Linked DNA regions of Cricetulus griseus. The protein of the gene in region 1 interacts with the protein of each later gene in a biochemical or structural test. Links are inferred from orthologs where the notes say so. Each region holds a gene or a part of one and is shown in the gene's direction. Other genes may lie near its edges. The genes, in order: desmoglein-1-alpha and Pkp1.

Region 1 (3,823 bases):
AGAAAATCCTTGTTCTTCTAAATACAAAATTACTACATTGTTACAATTGTAAATGTTAATATTATCAGAATTCTTAATTTTCCATTTTACCATCTTTTCTTCCTGACATAATTACTCTTCCCCCCCGAATCTTCAGTTGAATACCAGTAAGAGTAAGTTAATAGTTAATGGACACTGTATTTTACCTATTTAAGGTAAGAGACCATAACGCCAAAAATGGTACCATCAGTTGGCACACCATCAGAAGGCAGAAACGTGAGTGGATTAAGTTTGCTGCAGCTTGTCGGGAAGGTGAAGACAACTCAAAAAGAAACCCTATTGCCAAAGTAAGTGTCAACCCCAAAGCATGGATCTAAACAGCACACTAGACAGGGTCACAGTTCTGGAAGGGCCCAGCTTTTATGTGCTTTGTGCACACATGGGACCTAACAGCACCTCCCCATTCAAATTATGAAAACTAAAATTCCTAAAGGGATAAACCAATGAAGTTGTGTACTTGGATTAGCAACTAAACATTGTCTCAACTCATTGGTAGTAGTCCACATGAATAATTGTTATGCTATACTCCAAAACAACCATGGTTTACAGATAGAGTTCAGCATGCTGAGAGTACGTGCTCTCTCTGCTTTGACTTAACTTCTATTTGTCTATATATATAAGGTTCAAAGCATGCCTCATTCATAACCTCAAATTCCTCTGGTTTTTTCTTTCTTCATACACAAAAGCACAAACTCAGGAAGTTATTCCCTACACACACACAGATTCACTCCCATCGACATATAAAGAGAGATATACACAGATACAAGTACAAGCATTCACACAGATGGATATGGAAACTGCCTTGTAAGATTTACTTATATTCATATGATATTTACATGGACAAAAAGCTAGACTCTACAATTTTTTTTACTTTATAATCTTTTATTAGAGTGGGCTCTTTCCTTTTCTTTACCACTTTCAGAATTAAAAGTTTCAAATAATTTGTTACTACAAAAATCTACTTAAACATTTTTTGAATCTTAGTATTTTTAAAGTTGTTTTTGATTTAAAAATCAACATTATAAAATAATATATATTTGATATAAAACTCTCCAAGAAAGCAAGAAATAACCTACCCTGGACGAAGCTAGAATAGAATCTAAAACTAATACAAAAATAAAATTATAAATGTTTAATGATTATGGGATCTATGCACAGCAGCTATAAAGACTTCTTAGAGTAGCATTTGTTTCTTTATTGTTTGGTAGACATAGAAATAGGGCTGGCATAGTGGGGCACTCCTTTTGCACAGCACTCGAGAGTTAGAGGCAGACACATCTCTGTGAGTACAAGGCCAGCCTGGTCTACAAAGCAAGTTCCAGGACAGCCAGGGCTGTTTAAGACAGAGAAACCCTGTCTTAAAAAAACTAAAACAAAGATAAACAAACAAAATAAAAAAAGACATAGAAATGGGATTATCTCATTACATTGCTATTTACCATTAAGAATGCACACTGACCACATACCTATTACTAAAGATCATTTCCCTGTTTTTAACACTTCCCAAGTGATACCACAAATGGCACATTCAACAATTCTCAAGGAAAACATTGTCATATGTCACATGTGGATGTCCACATGGCTCCTGTAACATCTTCTCCTGTGTCTTTGTACAGATTCATTCTGACTGTGCCGCAAACCAGCAAGTGACGTACCGCATCTCTGGAGTAGGAATTGACCAGCCACCTTATGGAATCTTCGTTATTAATCAAAAAACTGGTGAAATTAATATAACATCCATCGTTGATCGGGAAGTCACCCCCTTTTTTATTGTAAGTGGGCTTTGTGTCAACATCTGTATGCAGATGTAAATTATTCTTAGAAAAATTTTAGACCATACTAGATTTGATTTCAAGACTCCCCAAATCTGGCTTTCTGAGATTCAAATCTTTCTGAATTCACTGGTACCCCAATAGATAAAAAATAATAATATAGAAACATTTTCTTTATGTGCTAGCAAAAAAATGCTAATTAACATCAGCTCCATGACAAATTAGATTATTTGCTTGGAAGGGTAAATCTTTAGCTTTTGTTCTATCTTAAAAAAGAAAATCCGTGGAAATTGATGCTTCCTTTTAACTCCAGTGCCAAGTGATAAGCCTGGAGCTCCTGGAGGCTATTTGTTCCATATGGACATACTTCATCATAACGTTACACTGTTCAAGATCATCTGAGCCCTAAAAGAAATTTGAAAACTCACTCATCCTTAGTCTCTCTCTGTCCTCCCCACCCCCAGTCTCCTTTTCTTGTAGAAGTTGTCACACAACTTAAGCAGCCTGTCTTTTAATGTCTCACCTCACTTCTCCTTAAGCATCTCACCTCCAAACCAAGCCACGATCCCCTGTCCTGACACCTCCCATACATACACACAGAACATTCACTTCTCACTCAGATACATTTCTTACTGCTTCTAAAAGCATGATCAATTTTTGCTTTCCCGGAACTTTCCCATGACATGTCTGTCACCCTGTTGTTACTTGTCTCTTGAAGAGCATTATCCTGTCATCGCCTTTCCCCCTTCTATTCTCCTTAGTCATTCACTGCCTTCATTTCCCTCTATGGTCATAGCTAACACTTCTTAATCAAGAAAAAAAATAAAATAAGCTGGGCGGTAGTGATGCATGTCTTTAATCCCAGCACTTGGGATGTGGAGGCAGGCAGATCTCTGTGAGTTCGAGGCCAGCCTGGTCTACAAAACAAGTTCCCGGACAACCAGAACTACACAGAGAAACCCTATCTCAAAAAACCAATAATAATGATAATGATAATCTTCTAATGAACTTGTGATCTCTTCAATTAAAATCTCATCAAACATCTGAGGATTTAACCTAGTGGCCAAGCATTTTTTATTGTGTGTAAAAGACTAGATTCAGTCTCCAGCCTTGATAAGATATAATATTTCAAACTACCTCCAAATATTGTTTAGTCCTTGCTGTGTTAATTCACACTGCACATCTGCATTCCTAGAACTACTTTAATTCCTGAGCCTCCAATTTCATATCTGTATTCTTGACTTCTGCCCTCCACAGTGTCTCCCTACAAATTCAATAAATCAGCAAAGCAGTACACAATTCACTGTTACACAGAGATGGCCTCTGTGAAATAATACACATTATAGGTCTTCTCAAGGGAAGCAGTAATAATAAAACAAACAACCGCCCCAGCACTTAAGAATGCCACATTGTTTTCAAAGTGCTCCTCTGATTCTTGCTGGCCGTGTTCTCTGGTGTCCTTCCCCTGGTACTCTTTCTCTTGATTTTAAACATAGAAGCTGCAACATTTCCTTTATCTAATGCATCAGTTTACCTTTATAAACTGGCATTTTATGCTCTTGTTTGCCTTTTCTTACTGATTATGTGTGTTGTTCATGTCTATATTTTAATGGGGAATAATAATATGGTATTCCTTAATCCTACATGTTACCAAGACAATACCTCCACCTGTAAGAACTTACAAATGTGTAACTCACCAGGGATCCTTTTCTTTCATATCTAGATCTACTGCCGAGCATTGAATGCACAAGGTCAAGATTTGGAGAACCCACTGGAGCTTAGAGTCAGGGTTATGGATATAAATGACAACCCTCCTGTGTTTTCCATGACTACATTTACAGGACAAATAGAAGAAAATTCTAATGCAAGTGAGTCACCTGTACAACTAAAGAAACATTGTGTTGATGACTAAATTACTGTTGCTAGGCAACTGGGCTGAGCAGTGTCAAGGTAAACATCAACTGGGAGGTAGAAAGCATCCAGAACCAACAACTCAGGAAAAAGCTCCAGTG
Region 2 (3,823 bases), on another chromosome or scaffold:
GGAAGGCAGACTCTTGTTGGAAAGGACAACATGATTCTGAGGGGTAAACTGGATGTTCAGACTTCTCCCTTAACCCTCACCCACAGGAAAGAGAATCCTTCTGAAGGAGGTGGGCTTGAGCATCTGTAATTTCATGCAGCCCATGTTATTTGTTCCAAATAACACTACTATCAGGTCCTGGCTGATAGAATTCTAAGACTTTAATTCCATTTGACATTAAATGGAGGTGTTGAGCCCATACAGACCAGAGTACCTTTCCCACGGGACTGGACAGGAAAGAAAAATAGTACCAAAATATCCAGCTTAGGCCAATTAGGCCAAGTCACAGATAGAGCAGTGCCTAGTACAGGATCCCTAGGAAAGAGGAGCTATGATCCTGGCTCTGCAAAGTGCCCACGTGCCCAATGGAAGAGAGAGTACAGGCACGAGCTGGAAATGAAGCAGATGCAAGTATGGCTAGCCAAGAAAGGCTTCAAGTATGGCTAGCCACGGAAGGCTTCCCAGAAGTAAGTTTTGTAGAAGTAGAAAGACCAGGTGGAGAGTGAGCTGTCATGGTTACACTTGCTGAAATGCTCCATGTTCTTGCTGTTGAACTTGTTTTTTAGAGGACATGGCTTACCATCCAGATCACCTGGGGTCAGGAGAGAGGGAGTGGTTTCTGTGTGAGAACAGCGCTGTTACAGAGAGAGCTCACCTCTCTCCCTGACTGCTGCTAGGTGTGATTCGGAATGTGTCACAAGTCTCCATTCCTCCCCACCTTTGCCATTCCTGCAGCAGTACGCCTACCTTCTGCCAGAAAAGCAGTTCTGGCTGGCATAATGGCTGCCTTACTCTCACAGGGAGCCAAGCGGCTCCCGAATTGCAGATAGGTTTTGGAGGATACCTTCAGAAGTTGCCTGGAAGCAACCAACCAAATGAGAGTTACAGCTCAGAGCTGTTTTTACCTGAGTCGCCGTGGGGATGAGCTCTGGGAATTATACAGTATTTCATTCTCTGCTTCCATCTGTCCATCTGTCCCTGTGTTAATTTCTGCCTCTATGGCACAGTTCCTACTTCTCCTGGAGAATGTACGAGAGGGCAGCGAGGGTGGTGAAGGGCATGGAAAGGGGAGATGGTTTATCTGACCTGTGGGTGTCAGGGCACGCTGGTAGATTCCCTCTCACCAGGGTGGAGGCCTGGGTGGGAGCCTCCAGGAGATGATTTTAAAGTAGGAGGCTTCCCTGAGGCCTTGTTGAAGTATCTGTCACCACCCCAGAGTTTCCATCTGGAAGTAGCTGGCTGACCCATACCTGCCCTTTGGGGAGAAATGCCTGCTCAAGAGATGAGAGCCAAGCAGACACTGGCCTGCCAAGCTTTAGAAGAGATGACGGACATGGGCTGGATCAAGGCGGGTGAGACCTAGATGTCAGTTCCTTGGAGTCCTGATGATGTCTCTGCCTGGCTGCGGCCCCTTCTCTGGTGACCAAGTCACAGGATTTTTCCTGTTCCTTATGAAAACACAGTCTGTCCAGAGGAGCAGCTGCAGTTTGGACAGGGTCAAGAGCAAATTTACCGTACCAGCAGAGGGCTGGGAGTAAATCAGAGGCTCTTTGGACCAGGCAGAATTCTAGGACTTCACTTTTAGGGGAAAGCCTGGTCCTGGGCCCTACAATGTGGGATTCTGGAATCTATAGATGGGAATGTCCCTGAGGCAAGAGGCAGAGGAGGCAGGGTCAGTCATAGTTGCCTGCCATGGAGCTCTGGGAGTGCATGGACCATTTAGGATACAGAGAAACTGCTTTTTACAGAAAAATAGCTGAGACCCAGGGAGAACTTGTGGGCCAGGCACAGTTAGACTTCTGGAGCAAACTATGACTGCCACAGCCAATATCTCTAAATCCTGCTCACCCTCCAAGATGAGGAGTGGGAATCAAGGGAAATGCCTCTTGTTGTGGGTCTGGCATTGGACAGAGGAGATGGCCCTGAGCAAGATGCTGGCCTGATTCTGAAGTACCTATCAGACAATTTGGTTCCCAGGAAATGACCTAGAACTGTGTGGGTTTGGCAGAAGTGTAAGGGTTAATGGATTTAAGGGAGGTAAAGGTTCAGCCCCTCTCCCCTTTAGACAGGCTTTCTGATGGGGGGGGTGTTCCAAGCATCAATTCAGAGGAAAAGGGTGCATATCCCACTAAGAAGGTTCTGTCTGCTCACCCAGAGGCCACATTTAATAAGAGTGAGCAAGCCTTGATATGGATATGCAGGCCAGAGAACCATGGCATATTTTTTAATGGTGTTCCCAATGTAGCCAAGGAAATATGGACGCCAGGTGGCACACGACTTGGGGTACAAAAGCACAATATAGCAGAGACTAGAGAGATTGCCTTAAGTGGGGCTGGTCAGTAAGGGGTTCCTGAAGGAGATGAAGTCTTGAGTCTGGCTTTGAAAGATGGCTTTAGCCCAGAAGAGAACACAGATTCAGCATGGGGAGTGACATGTCACTGACAGCCCTGTTTCATGATGTTAGGACCTCAAACAGACCAACTTGCTTGAAGTTGGGACAATGCTGTAGGCCTCCCCACTCTCTGCCATTCTGTGAAAGAGAGAAGGAAGATGGGTCCCTGCCATGAACCTTAAATCCAGCCTGCTTTTTGTGATTCAAATCCACTTTGCCACTAATAACCGTAATGACACTCTGTCCTCCTGCAGAGCCTGTCATTTGTGGGTCTCCAAGCAGTGTACAAACATTAATTAATCCACACTGGGCCTTTGAGGTTGATCATTGTTCCCCCTTTGCCAGCGGGAGGACCTCAGAAGAGAAGGAAGGGGCAGGCTACCTGATCACCTGTGGAGGCTGGGCTTGGGTTGGAATTCACAGTCCTGACAGACGCAGACTCTACAGTGTGCACTGCTGTGTGGCTGCTCTAACCTTGGGAGTCTGGACCTGGAATGTTGAGATCCTGTCTTCCTTCCCCGAGTGGGGATCTCATCTTTGTGGATCATGGGCTGGTGATTCCCTGTGCAGGAGCTGCTGTTCTCCAAGGCTCTCCAGGCCAGCTCGTGACCTGTAGGTGTCAATGTCTTCCAAGGGGTCTAAGAGCTGCCCTGTGGCAGTCTGGTGGCTCTTTGCTGGGCCCTGGCTGTGGAGGAAATGGAGAGGGATGGGCATGGCCAAGAGATGACCAGCCATTCTCCACCCCTTCCCCCAGGAACTCAGACTGCTTCCCTCCACAGTGGTGGTGGACCTGGATGTGGGTGATAGCGCAGGAGCAGGGAGGGGTGAAGCTGATAGTCATCCCTGCCTAACCTCCCTACTCTGCCCTCCAGGCTCCATGTATGATGGGCTGGCTGACAATTACAACAACTACGGGACCACGAGCAGAAGCAGCTACTTCTCCAAGTTCCAGGCGGGGAATGGCTCGTGGGGCTATCCGGTAAGAAACTGCTTCTATTCAGAAAGATCTAGAATGTCTGTGGGCATGGTCTGGGGTTCCCGAAACAGAAAGCTTTCACTGGTTGCTCAAAAAGAGAAATGTAGACTCCAGTCAGTAAATGAGGGCTGCAGGTCTGACCAGGTCTATTAGCTTGGTCATTACCTCACAGGGAACTCTGTGTAGCCTCCTTTGATGCTGATCGGGGATTTCTGGGTATCTCGGGTGAGAACATTTTAGAAAAAGCATTGTACAACTCCGTTTCCCAACTTTTCTGATTTTGATCAAGGGGATGTGAGAAGTCTGAACCCTGGAGGTCCATTACAGACAGAGGCTTTTAGGGAAATCATGAAGTATTTTCTCTCTTCATGTGTACTGATGAGCAAAGCAGGACCCAGAAGGTCTCCTGAGACCAG

The links.
Region 2: the proteins of desmoglein-1-alpha (region 1) and Pkp1 form a complex in vitro, tested with the Homo sapiens proteins (2 studies listed by BioGRID and IntAct). The link is inferred for Cricetulus griseus from reciprocal best matches to the Homo sapiens genes DSG1 and PKP1.

Annotation. Positions count from the first base shown.
Region 1 is NC_048595.1:216,590,664-216,594,486, reverse strand, and holds part of desmoglein-1-alpha, read left to right. Parts: intron 1-194; coding exon 195-326; intron 327-1,655; coding exon 1,656-1,811; intron 1,812-3,534; coding exon 3,535-3,679; intron 3,680-3,823. UniProt on the Homo sapiens protein: Component of intercellular desmosome junctions. Involved in the interaction of plaque proteins and intermediate filaments mediating cell-cell adhesion.
Region 2 is NC_048598.1:53,357,205-53,361,027, forward strand, and holds part of Pkp1 (plakophilin-1), read left to right. Parts: intron 1-3,303; coding exon 3,304-3,410; intron 3,411-3,823. UniProt on the Homo sapiens protein: A component of desmosome cell-cell junctions which are required for positive regulation of cellular adhesion.